2 linked regions of the Bombyx mori genome follow. Each later gene encodes a partner of the first gene's protein in a complex. Links are inferred from orthologs where the notes say so. Each region holds a gene or a part of one and is shown on either strand. Other genes may lie near its edges.

Region 1 (6,557 bases):
CGGTAGTTTTGACGTTCAACAAGTATGCACTTTCATTTATGTTGAATAAAACTTTTTTGATTTGATTTGATTTGATAATATATAAATCTACAGTGGTTTTTACGGATGTTCCGTTATAACTACTGAACCATGCATCCGATTGACTTGAAACTTGGTATCCATGTAGAAAATACATGTACTTAATGGATAGGCTAATATTTATATGAGTGTTGGACTCCCTACACCAGTTGCGGGGGCGTCAATGATGAGAATGTTTGTGGGGGTGAGAAATAATGATGTTAATTTTAAATGCCCAGCGAAGCGGATGGGTACAGCTAGTTGGTTTACATCAGGCTAACAATTGTGAACACTCGTATACATAAACATACAAGGTTCAAAAACTAAAAACATCGCGGTACCGTGTCTGATCACGCTTTTTATAGACATCTGCAACGTAAATGCCGCAACCTACCTTGAGATATAAGTTCTAAGGTCTCAATATAGTTAGAACCCCCGCCCTTCCAACCGAAACGCATTACTGCTTAACGGCAGCTATAAGCAGGGTAGTGGTAACTACCCGCGCGGACTCACAAGAGTTCCTACCACAAGTAATAAGGGAAATTATAATTTTGCTTAGATATGTTTGTGATGTCCGCCAGTAACTGAGGCCCTGCAGTACCCAGAGTTCAGCTGCGTAGTGACGTACGGACGCCTGGTCGTGGGCTGTGCCTTCCTGGTGCCGGACGCGGGACATTCCACCGCGTACATCTCCTTCGTGCTCACCAGGCCGGAGTGGGGCAGGGCCGGCATAGCTACATTCATGCTGTACCATCTACTTCAGGTATACTCGCCCATGAGGAACAGTAAGGCGGACATTTATTGCGATATTTCAGGAAGATGGATCTGGTTACCACATAATCCAGTCTCCGTAGTGGAGAAACTTTCTTTAAAAAAGAAAGTTGTATCTCCAGTGAAGAACATACGAAGTAAGAACATATCGCCAGATCTTAATACGTTGACTGCCATGTAGGTCACCGGTGCCCTACGTGGCGCACTCAAGTAATTATGTCGATTTCTCTCTTTTCTATCTTCTTACTAAGGCGCTGAAACATCTCGTAGTCGCTGGGAAAGAATTCGAAGATACTGAGAATGAATATATTTCTGGAGACCTAAAATACTAAAACATATTATATTAAACACAAAAGAAGGCAAAATTAAGCAATCCCAGCGCTTAGTAATAGAGATCGACATAATTACCTCAGTGCGCCGCGTAGGGCATCAGTGCCCTACATGGCGGTCAACGTATTAATATAATATTAATTCAATCAGTAAAACGGATCATGATATGGGTTGCATGGCAACGGACACAAAACTGTTCATTTTTTTTAAATAAAGAAGGTTCACCCTGCATTGAATACTGGTGACTTCAGGTCAAAGTTAGGTTATATATAATCTTACTCTATGGGTCAAAGTATCAACTGCATTGTATGTTTACCTTAAATTATTTGCTAATATAAGGTTCAGGCTTAAGTGTTGTAGACAATTACCTTTTTTACTTACAGACTTGCACGGGCCAAGATATCACACTGCATGTGTCACCAACAAATCCAGCTATATTTTTATATCAAAAATTTGGCTTCAAAGTGAGTATCATGAAAACCCTATTTCTCTGGTATTATGGTACAATGTATTATCAGCATATTATGATACATTATGAATATCACTCAATGTATTGTAATTATTATGTAAACTTATCTGGAGTTTTACAAAACTGCTTCACGCCAGAAACATGCTGATGCATAGATTAGTCTACTATTTCAAAGCTACTAAAATTTTGACCTCATACCTCATATTACCAATGTATCTATGTATCTAACTATTTTCATCGCATTTTACACTACCACATTATTTGTTGATAATGAATCCAAAAGTAACATTTTGTGCACAAAGAACAGACAAACAGACAACGTGAACTATGAATATTTCATTTCTGCAGTTGGGCTTCTGAGCTCACACCCAACTCACCTATCCCAAAGTATTGTAATGTCACTGCTCTCACACTGTTCAAGTTATATTGAAAGTATGAATACTTTAAGACTAAAATAGGCACATTAGTGGTAGAAATACACACAGGCTAACAATACTTTGTTGCATAATAATTTTCGATTGATAAATAGTTGACAAGTGTGTGTATCTGCAATTCAGCATAGCATATGTGGTGTTAAATGATACCAATTTGTCATAGTCACAATGGTTTACTTATAAAACCTTCATATAACAAATAATCATAAATTTTCCTAGTCTTATTTACATCTATTTTAACAATTTTCCTTGCATCTAAAAGTCGTAGGAATCCAAGCTTACTGTTCTGAGCTATAAGATGCTCTTTTATTTCCAAGTAGTTTGTTGGTACAAGCCTCAAATTAGAACATAGTACTTGTTCAGCCTCACTCAGCCTGTGGAAACCTGGCAAGTCAATTATTTCTAAGGGCATTGCCATACGCTTGTAACGCAGCACTTGGTGGTTTTTTGTGTACATAGTCTTCACTGGTGATTGATTTTCAAATTTCTTGGCCATAACACATGTAGCATACTTTTGTTCTTTCATGATTATGTCATTTTCTTTTTTAAGTTGCTTATAAAGTTTGGCAGTATAAAGAGTTTTTATACCATTCTTACGGTATTCACATAAATGTCCAATTCTCTGTAACAGCTCGTTCTCTAAGCTCATGGATTCCATGAAAGCGTCAAACTGTATTCCTGTCATGAACTGCATGAAGCAAAGCAATCGTTCTGCTTTCTGTCGTGTTATAGTGAGGTCAAACTTTTGGATCCATGAGAAAAGCTTATTTGGCATTACTAAGCCATGATTCTGTATAATTTTATACCTTCTATGTCTTTCTCTTAATCTTGTATTAAGAGCATTCACTAAAGACACCTTTAAAGAATCCATCATGTCCATTTCATCCTCATCCTCATCATCATCTTCAGAGTAACTGTCTTCAATATTAAATATGCTTTCAGCATTGTGATCATAACTGAATTCAAATTCAGATCTATATGTATTGTAACCAGCTAAATGTTGATCTGAACTGTTATTTCTAGGCGGATTAGTGCTTACATCTGTATTGTACAAGTATGGAGTAATTGGCATTGGAAAAAGTGACTGTTGTGTTTCCTTTAGTAATCTCAATTCTTTATACTGCACATTCTCTATGTAATATTTCCTATAATGCTCTTGACATTCGAGTTTAGAACGTGTGTGCACATTCTTAGATATTTCTTCCCAATTTCCGAATCCGTATGTAGAAAGTGCTGATAACAATTTGCACTCTTCTTTAGCAGACCAATTGCAATTACCGAATAATGGAAAATCATTTCTTCTTATCGCGTATTTGTGGTCATTTTTATGCATTTCTGTTTCCTTGCCGGATGAAAAACAAGGAGTGCAAACATTGCTTTCGCACTCGCAACATTCGATAAAAGGCTCGTGTGCGACTTCTGAACACAAATCGCAGTTCGTTTGTAGTATATCTCTGGACATTATTTCAGGTTGAAGAACTTATACAAGACTTTTATGAGAAGTACTACGACATCGAATACAAGGGATGCCGGCACGCGCTCTTTCTTCGACTTGTCAGATAAATAAAGTAGTACTTTAAAAACCTTTATTTTATTTACAAACAAAACCTAATAGTCTAACTATCACTTACCTATTGAACAAACTTCAAAAATTCAAAAACAAAAGAACTAAACACCTACATTTCGATAGAACTTCACGCACAGATCAGTTGTTTATTGGTTTACAATAGAAGATAGTGATTTTTTTCTATTTAGTAAAACCGGTTAAACTATGTAATGTTAGGGATTACTATTTCAGCAAACGTTTAGAAAATACAATATTTAAGTAAGTACGGTTCCTACATAATAGTAGTAGTTTTATTTTTTCAACTGAAAAGTCAATGGTATCATACCATACAGCCTAATCTTTTATAATTCATTTTATATGAAAAATGATAATATGAAGTGTAATTAAATGAAGTTGATTAATGAAACATGGCATGAAATGAAATGAGGTTGGATAATATGGGATAAAATATAATCTCAGTAAAATGGTGGTCATTTACTAAGACTTTTTCAATTGACTTTTTGGAAGATCCCGAGAAGTTACGTCCAGTGCCTTTGTTTCATTTTCCCACATTTGTGCACTTTCACAGATACTAAACAGTTAATAAGCCACGTTATTACACATTTAAATCTAACAAACAAATCACACAACTTCACTCCTCGCGGTTCCGCCAAAAAGATCTTACCTTTTTTGTTCTTGCCCTGTCATACATACATAACTTTATTCAAAATAACTACATATCTCGGTGAGTAGGGATGGTGATCAGGGATTGATTTCTGTTTAAATCGATCTTTTTATCATTATAATAGCCAATCCATCTAGGACATTAGCAAATCAAAATGCATTTGCAAACAGGTTATCATCATATCATGTGTGAAAATCCATTATTATTGGAAAATGAAATAAAGTTGCTGAACGTGACGTCTCGGGTTCTTCCAAAAAATCTATTGAAACAACGCAAATTGATGACAATATCAGTTAATAAACAAATTCATTTCAATCCGATCCATTCCATTTGACATCAAAGCATCGATATTAAAAAAGTATTTTAAAGTCGGTGCTGGTGACATTACACGGAAAATAAAAAAAAAGCGAATATCGAAAAAATATATTTATGGGCAGTCGATTTTCTCTTTTTCGAGAAGAAGGATCATTCCTACTTTTTCATATATCTGTACTTATGTCTTTGTCAACGTTTACTATGTATCACTGCTAAATATCTGTTACGACTTCATACTTAACTCTTAGGTGTGTACTTATAGGTAAGGAGAACTATCTTAAAATGAGAGACAAGTTGAAGAAGCATCCGGCTGTAAGCAGCAAATTGCAATTCAGAAAACTCATTAAAACAGGGCTAGTGTAGCAAATGGATGATGTAGAAATTGTAAGGGAGTGAAGTATGCTTAGTTGAAAAACTTTCTGGGCTATCTTTAAAATTACACCACTGCCTACGATGGCGCTACCCTAATTGGTCGCCTTTCGACGATCACTTTTTCATACACAGAAAACCATTTCTCGAAAAGTATGGACGGTAAAGGCAAACAGCGGGTGATGCTTACAGCTGGTTCTGCTTACCTCTAACCTCCATACTTTACCAGCAACGAATAAAACACAGTGTTTTAGTTTACTTAGGAAAACTGGGTAACTAAATCCAAAATGTATCATTTGATTAACCCGCTATGATAGATGATGTTCTTCTTTGATAAGCTTCCTTAATTTTTGAATTTGTTAACAGTAGATCTAATAAAAAAAACAATCTAAAAGATATAATAAACACTAGTATCGCTTTAAAATAAATAATCCCCTTTTCAGAATAATCATTAAATAGATAATATTTTGAAAACATGAACAATTAAATATTGCATTTTTTATTTATTAAGTCGTAACAGAGAACATGGTAAAATAAAAAAGAAACAACGAGAACATACTGACATTTATAATCGGGTCGAGATTCGAGAAAATGACGTGCCCATTAGCCGATGAACATAGAAATTTATATTTGTCTCTTTTTAACATTAGCTAGTTCATATTGCTTTCTTTTTATTGCATCTCGCTCACGTCACGGGTGAAGGTCCTAGAATGTTCTAGATGTTTTGATGTATATATTTTGGTTCGACGAGAGCGCCGCGTTTCATTCAATTGTGATATTGCTGAAGTGAAGTGTTGAGTTTTGCGTTGTGATTATTTGCTAAAATTTCGTAAATTGTGCTTAAATTATCAAGGATTAAAGTTTCTCTAATACAAGTAAGTGTTCTGAAAATGCTATGTTGATTTTTTTCATTTAAAAACCGTGGTTTTGTTATAAAATGTGGTCTATCAAATTTATGAAACGAAAATGATCGACGAAATCGTGCTTCCAAAAAAGGTGTCAAACGTCGAGACTGATCTTTTTTTTTTGTTTCAGTACAAATCAAAATGGGCAAAGACTACTATAAAATATTGGGAATAACAAAAGGTGCTTCGGACGATGACATCAAGAAAGCCTACAGAAAATTGGCATTAAAGTACCACCCGGACAAGAACAAGGCTGCGGGCGCAGAGGAAAGGTTTAAAGAAGTGGCAGAAGCTTATGAGGTTTTATCGGACAAGAAGAAAAGAGAAATTTATGATGCGCACGGCGAAGAAGGCCTAAAGGGTGGTATGGGCGGGCAGAATGGTCCTGGTGGCGGTCAATCATTTTCCTACACGTTCCACGGCGACCCGAAAGCAACGTTCGCGCAGTTCTTTGGTTCGGCCAGCCCGTTCCAGGAATTCTTCGATCTGAATGGAGGTGGAACTACAACGTTCTTCGACCGCGACATGGATGTGGATATGGATCCTTTCAGTAACATAAGCATGGGGCAGGCGCGACCAGGTGGCCCCGGTGGTGCTTTCCGCAGTCACAGCTTTAATTTCCATGGTTCACCTAGTAGGAAGGAGAAGACGCAGGACCCCCCCATCGAACACGATT
Region 2 (7,334 bases), on another chromosome or scaffold:
TCTCATGTCTTTAGAAGGCGGTGGTACAAATCTCTTGAAGAATCTAGAATAACCCCTCGACGTTACTAGAATAGGTAGAAAAAAAATATGGAATTTACTTATCACCAGGTCGTGCCGTGAAGACATTTAGGTATTAAGTGAAATAATTAAAACAATAATCGTTTTCACGTAAAATTCATTTTCAAGGTAAATTATTTGTTTCTTTTACTTCCTCGTTACGTTAAATTTGCATTGGAATGAACAAATATTGATTTGTCAATTCAACTGTTATTTATAATTGCAAATATACAGCAGCTGTTATAGAAGTCGATAAAATTCGTTTTTTTATAATACGCTTTTATTAGCTCGACATTCGTATTTTGCGATGTGAATTTGTCGGTGTTCTTATCCGATAGTTATGGTTTTTTTTATTGCTTAGATGGATAGACGAGCCCACAGCCCACCCGGTGTCAAGTGATTACTGGAGCCCATAGACATCTACAACGTAAATGCGTCACCCACCTTGAGACATGAAGTTGTATAGTCTCAGTATAGTTACAACGGCTGCCCCACCCTTCAAACCGAAACGCATTACTGCTTCACGGCAGAAACAGGCAGGGCGGTGGTACCTACCCGTGCGGACTTTACAGGTCCTACCACCAGTAATCACTTATTTCTATTATTTTTTTTCCAATAGGATCGTTGGTACCCCCTCAAGCTGTTATTTTGACTACGCGCGGTTTGGTAGATGAGCTCCCTCAACCTGAGAGAATTACTAACCCTGGCCCCAACATGATCAGTGCTTTGCTGAATCTACCATCGGATCGGAATCGCGAGCCACTGAGACGTAGTGAGAAGATCCGGCGATAAACTCAGTGGATAGGTTGTACGTGGAACTCTGTCGTATTTGACGTGTTCGACGAGAGCGGTAACCAGTGCCTGGAATGCCTAAAAGCCCGGAGAGTCGATCGAGAGGATTCGATAGTATTTTTTATTTATTGCTTAGATGGATGGACGAGCTCACAGCCCACCTGCTGTTAAGTGATTACTGGAGCCCATAGACATCTACAACGTAAATGCGCCACCCACCTTGAGATATCAGTTCTAAGGTCTCTGTATAGTTCCAACGACTACCCCACCCTTCAAACCGAAACGCATTACTGCTTCACGGCAGAAATAAGCAGGGTGGTGGTACCTACCCGCGCGGACTCTCAAGAGGTCCTACCACATGTTAAAACTTTTATTGTACACGTTACGTTTTTATTACACGATGTTATTCCTTCACCGTGGAAGTCAATCGTGAACATTTGTTGAGTACGTATTTCATTAGAAAAATTGGTACCCGCCTGCGGGGTTCGAACACCGGTGCAATCGCTATATACGAATGCACCGGACGTCTTATCCTTTAGGCCACGACGACTTCAATAAATGTCGTCGGATGTTCTTTAGACGACGGTACCTTTGATTTGCCTCGTGGCCTGGGTCGGATATGTAATTTTAGGCGGTCACGATAAGGTTTATTTCTAATGAAATACGTACTTAGTACACGTTCACGAATGACTTCCACATCGTGTAATAAAAATCCGATATAATAGTAACGTGCGTAATTACTAAACAATTGAGATGTAGATGTATGTATATGGACTCCAGTAACCACTGAACAACAGGTGGGCCGTGAGCTCGTTACGAAAATATATTTTTTTTATCTCGAAACTAGGAAGAAACAACCTTCTAGTTCAAAGTGGCCCGCAGCATACCGTATGAACAGACTTAACTTGAAAACAAAGGTATAAAAATGAGTTTAAATTTTTGAAATATAATCATTGCTAACATCGGTATGACTAAACAATCTCTTGTTATTTACTGCATTTACATGAATATTTTTTACTTCACCACATTTATCTGACTTGGTTGTTGTTTACAAAAAGTGTTCAAAGAGGTCAAACTATAATATAAAATAAATCATTTCTTATCTATGGAACGTAAACAACTATATCTGTGTTGGAAATTGTAAATTTAGAAGATGCAAATAGACAAAGAGTTATGGCCATATTTTCTTTATTTATATCTTCAGCTACGCACGGACGGGTTGGTAAGCTCATGGGGTTCATCCTGAGAGAATTTGCTAACAATAGTCCTAGTAAGAGAAATCCAATCCAGCGAGAAATTAAGTTGGTTATGTATTTGGGCTAGGTTGCTCTTCAAACTCTTTTTGTCTAAGCCTCAGTTTTTTCATTGCAACAATTTCCCCACCCTTTAAACGGAAACTCATTACGGCTTCGCGGAAAATATAGGCAGGATGGTGGTACTTACCCGCGTGGGCTCAGATATGATGCCCTATCACCAATAATTACACAAAAATTATAATTATTGCGGGTTCAATTTTTATAACAAGTAATGTTATTCCTTTATTATAGAAATAATTTGTGAACATTTGTTAACCTATTTCATTAAGAAAATTGCGTCGCTTGATGTGAATGCACCGGGTGCCATATCCTGTAGATCACGAAGAATTTGCTGCCTATAGTGACATGAAATATCACTTAACACTAAAATGGTTAAAAGCCATTACCGTTTTGAACAACGGGCTTCACATACAGAATCTTAACAAAATACCTATTTTCCTAATGACTAGAAAATTTTAAATAATACAAGTTTACCTTTTTTCCTTCAAAATTGTCTCTAGTTGTGCCAATAAACAATGAAATTGCACCGCAGCTATCATCAGTTACAAGTTCACTTATTTCTTCGACTGACAGTCTATCTACTGTTAATTTTATATGGTCCATCCTGTGAAATACTATTTAACCTCCACTCAATGGTGGTATAACAGCTAAGTTGTCTTGTTCATTAATTTCTATATCTACTGTATCCTCACACACTACCTCGTTCTTAGCCAAAAGTATATTTTTCTTAATACTGTTTAAGTTATATTTATCGCATATAATATTCAACAATCTCTGATATCCCAACTTTCTTGGTAAAGTTATGGAAGTTTCTCTAACTCCCGACAATTCTTTTGATTTAGCAAAAAACAATAGCTTCACTGTTACAGTATCTTCTATATTTTCTATTTCCATAATTTACCATAGTCAATCTACCAGCCTGCAATAAAAAGATGTGTTATTATAAACCTGTTTGTAAAAAAAAGTTGCTTAAGTAAAAATAAATAAAAAACATTACAACAAAATAATCAATATAGCTACTGTCAATACTGCTTCTAAATCTGTGTAAATAGTAAACAATAATGATTAAAATACATACATGTAATTTGAATTGAAAAAAAAAACTAGAAAGTACAAAATGGTGCTGCAAAATCTAAAGAAAAATATTTAAAAAATTAAATTCTTACTTTATTTCGAATTGATCCATAAAAGACTAAATATGTTGTACTTGTTGTAGGATAATAAAAAGGTTTTTAATTTCCGTTATACACTTTCCATGTACATCAAAAGTATTTTAAAAAATTATATATCTACTGACTGCATCACCGCGGCGTTTCATTTACTTACTGACTGATTCACTCGACTTACCTACATGAATGTCGTGGATATAGTTTTTATTTTATGGGCGACTGCTTTAAACATGTTGCTGATCATTGGACCGTGTCGGAATTTCACGATCTAATTACATACACCTACTTTCATACAATAGATACCTATACTTTACACAGTATAATATTATTAGATATTTTCAAGTACGTCGTTGGTACAAATGTCATTACAGCGATCATTTAATTTAAACTGTGTGATTTTTATAACTAGGAGGTTATACCGTAACCTTGAAAATCGTAACATTTTATTTATTAAAGTAATTTTAAATATACTTACTGTATCTTCTGTCTTAAATGGTAGTAATGTAAGGGTTTTTTTTCCTCAAACTTAGATTAGAAATTTCACTTCTTTAAAATTCTTACTAACTATTAGGTGTTATAATTAAGTTAAAATTCAAATTTTAAAACTCAAAAGCAAAACAAGAGACAGCTGTTATAGTTTATGAATTAATAACTTTTTGTTTGATCCCAAAAAACAGGCAAAGGAATAGTATTTCATAGGCTTTGTTTCAAAAAGTAAATTCTTTTATCTATCTATCTCTTAGGTTTATGGCGTTTCCTTTTAGATTTCGCCAATGTCAAGTGTATATAATACTCTGCTTTCTATAGCGGGCTTCGTGAATTAAATTAAAGTAAATTCTTTTGCACGAGAAGCGTAAAGGTGTCATTACCAAGCCATACTATTACCTTTTTTAAGGTATAAAAAAGGTAATAGTTTAAAGTTTGAATGATATCAGTTTTCGTAATAGGCCAACCAGCCAAGTCCAGTGATTTTGCTCCATTTCCATCTCCTAGAATCTAGGACCTAGATAGTTGAAAAGACCATATTAGTTTAGTATATTAGTTGCAGAAATACCTAATTGGAAAAATATTACAATGGCATATCCAATTTCATTCTTGTGTTCTAGTCATAGTAGATTTACACTTTTCTTTCTTGAATCTTATCCATACAACGGTTGAATGAAAGAGATCGCTTTAGAAGACAGGACCACACCTTGTAATTAAATTTTTATAGCATATCTACTTCGCTCCCATTGTACTAAGAAAAATTACCCGTGATAAGGTGCATGCGAAAATTTAACATGAAAATTAAGAGTCAATAACAAAACTCAATTTTACATTTATAGTATTTTAAAAATATAGATATTCTTTTAGGATCTCTTTTTAGGGGTTCAAAAAAACCCTCTTTCCAAGCGAGAGTTGTTGATAAAATACTTAAAATTTAAACTTAAATTATAAATATGTCTGTTATTAACTACTATCTCTCCATCATATTAAATCATGTTTATGTTGTATTTTCATGTCTCAGGCCTATTTATAAAATATCTTATAATCCAATTAATAATCATCATATGTTCAATAGTAGTGATCCGTCTTTGCACGGGATGAATAATGATATTGTGAATTATGTAATAATGAATAAATATAATCATATAATGTATAAACTAATTATTGCTGAAAGTACATCATAATACAAGTAAAAGAAAGTACATTATTGTTTACAGTAATGGCCATAGGTAATATATTGTAATTACATCACGTGTATTATTTTTACTAAGCTTTATGTAAAAGCTTCAATATTGACAGTTCTCTTTCAAATGAGAGAAATTACACTTTCAACCCCTACTTTTTAACTCTCAAAGAAAATATTCCTAGAAGTGAAATTTTGAAAAACAGCAACAAAAGTTTACGCATAAACGATAATATGTTTATTTTTTAACAAGTAGCGGAAATACGACATTTCGTATTTTAAAATGACAGTGTCGAAATGTTGTAGCGATGGCTCTATAGGTTGACACTCTCTTATTATACATTAAGGTTAATCCTATGAGTTTAGATTTGAATTCTTTCGGTGATCATGTCTCCTGCCGTTTGACATTCTTTTTCTTCCACTTGACCATAGATAATGCTTAAACACCTTCGCAACTCGATTTAATTTTACGTCACTATCGATACTAACTGCACTACCATAATCTGACAATTGACAGTTCAAATTGAAAAAGTTACCGAATTCAAACGGTTTTCAATCCGGTATGTTTGTGTGCTGCTTCTATGTATACTGATCGTTATTTTTTGGCAAGATTCCCTCTGGGTGCGCTTCTTATATAAAATGGACTACGTACAACGTACAACACAAAAAGGATAAAAATAGAATACGAATGCGAGTTTCAGTTCAGTGCTCGGACATTTTTGTTTTCTAATGACATACTTACCGAACCGTTTATTTTACGAAATAGAAATCAGTGAAATTATTTGAAAAATATTTGATGTTAGTGTTGGATTGAATATTTACTTGTGTCTTCAGATCGTGACGTGTCGAGCAGAGCAGAGTCTTAAAAACGCTACAATCAACCGTTGTGTGTTTAGTGATATATAAAAAATGGCAAATCGCGATGAACCGATGGATATAGACAGCTTAGAGAGTGATTTTGATAATAAAGAGAATACATATCACAATAATGTGTTACCATGTACAGAGAAAGGATATGAGGAGTTGGATGTGTCAGAACTCAACATGAAATTGAGGTATTCTATAACCCCAGCCGCATCACCTATGTCGAGGAGCTTTACTAACTATACTAGCAATAGAAGCCTTGATAATGATGATTCACTAAATTATTCCAGCAATGAAAATAATTTGACTCGATCTTTAAATTCTAATATATCAAAGAATGAAAATGTGGTAAAATCTCTTAAAACATTGCCTCTCCAGTCACTTCCCACTGACCAAGTAGATCGAATAACAATTTTACAACAGTTGGATAGTGTTGAGTTGACGGGTGATACTCATGATATCACTGTAACTGTTAGTAAAACAAACGATGATGAAAACATATCACTAGCAAGTTCATCATCTTCAGCATTACACAGTCCTGATGCAACAACACCAACAAAAGAACCCGAAAAAAATGAAAATGAATCTCCAATAATGAGAGGTCTCAAGAGCGTACTTAATATTTTTCGTTCTTCACAAAGCCCTATACCCCCTGGAGATAATGATGTGGGATCAAATCAAATTTCACCTAGACTAGAAGAATGTTCAACACCTAAAACTGAAGAGACAACTGACAAGACAGCCTCTGCGTCCACTCCTATCGTAGCTCATAGAAATAAAGATTTAAATATATCCAACAGGAACAGTCCATACAAAGAAAGTGTCACATTTAATGAAGACCTTGAAAAAGAATTACTATGGAAAGACGAAACAACAATATTGTTCAGTCAAGAAAAGATTCCCGTACACAAATTGTTTTTAACTAAAACAACTGAGAGTCAGTTGAAAAATGTAACTGAAACACATAATCAAAATCTAAATAAAACGGTTGAGTATATGGATATGTCGTTCAATGATATGCTGGAAGACAAAACTCTAACTGAATCTGAGAATTTTAAAAATGATTGCAGCACTGTCGAATCTGATAGTGAATTTGTAGATTGTGAGACGACATTTACGAAAGATGAAAACCAAAAAGAAAAAAATAATTTTACTGAAGAACATATGCTAAATGAAACTGTCAACATCTGTGGGACTGACGTTCTTGACAGCTCTGTTATAGAACGAAAACCAGCTCCTGACGAAAGACATCAGAGCAATCTTTTTAATGCAATAAATATTACTGAAAATTCTAATGAAGAGCACTTAAATCACGAAAATGTAGTTCAAATAACACAAATAGGGAGTAAGTTAATTTGCCCAAAAGATTTACAGGATACAATAGCAGTAGATAATATTGCTACAAGTGAAAATCTAGAACACAACTTAGAATTTGAACTAACACAAGATATTTGTATGGATTATGAT

The links. Proteins that work in one complex are often made in the same cells at the same time.
Region 2: transcriptional adapter 2A (region 1) and molybdopterin synthase catalytic subunit share a complex: the UniProt entries of both Drosophila melanogaster proteins name them as parts of the ada2a-containing (ATAC) complex. The link is inferred for Bombyx mori from reciprocal best matches to the Drosophila melanogaster genes Ada2a and Mocs2B.

What each region holds. Positions count from the first base shown.
Region 1 is NC_085111.1:1,074,366-1,080,922, reverse strand, and holds transcriptional adapter 2A, read right to left. Parts: upstream 3,532-6,557; 5' UTR 3,524-3,531; coding exon 2,225-3,523; 3' UTR 2,215-2,224; downstream 1-2,214. Other genes in the region: cysteine-rich protein 2-binding protein, read left to right, coding at 639-820, 1,542-1,622, 3,532-3,624; DnaJ-5 (dnaJ (Hsp40) homolog 5), read left to right, coding at 6,023-6,557. UniProt on the Drosophila melanogaster protein: Component of the histone acetyltransferase (HAT) complex ATAC; predominantly involved in acetylation of histone H4, including at Lys-6 (H4K5ac) and Lys-13 (H4K12ac).
Region 2 is NC_085131.1:1,995,783-2,003,116, forward strand, and holds the start of molybdopterin synthase catalytic subunit, read right to left. Parts: upstream 4,079-7,334; 5' UTR 3,810-4,078; intron 3,739-3,809; exon of another isoform or gene 3,332-3,738; intron 3,085-3,331; 5' UTR 2,769-3,084; coding exon 2,640-2,768; intron 1-2,639. Other genes in the region: putative leucine-rich repeat-containing protein DDB_G0290503, read left to right, coding at 5,913-7,334. UniProt on the Drosophila melanogaster protein: Catalytic subunit of the molybdopterin synthase complex, a complex that catalyzes the conversion of precursor Z into molybdopterin.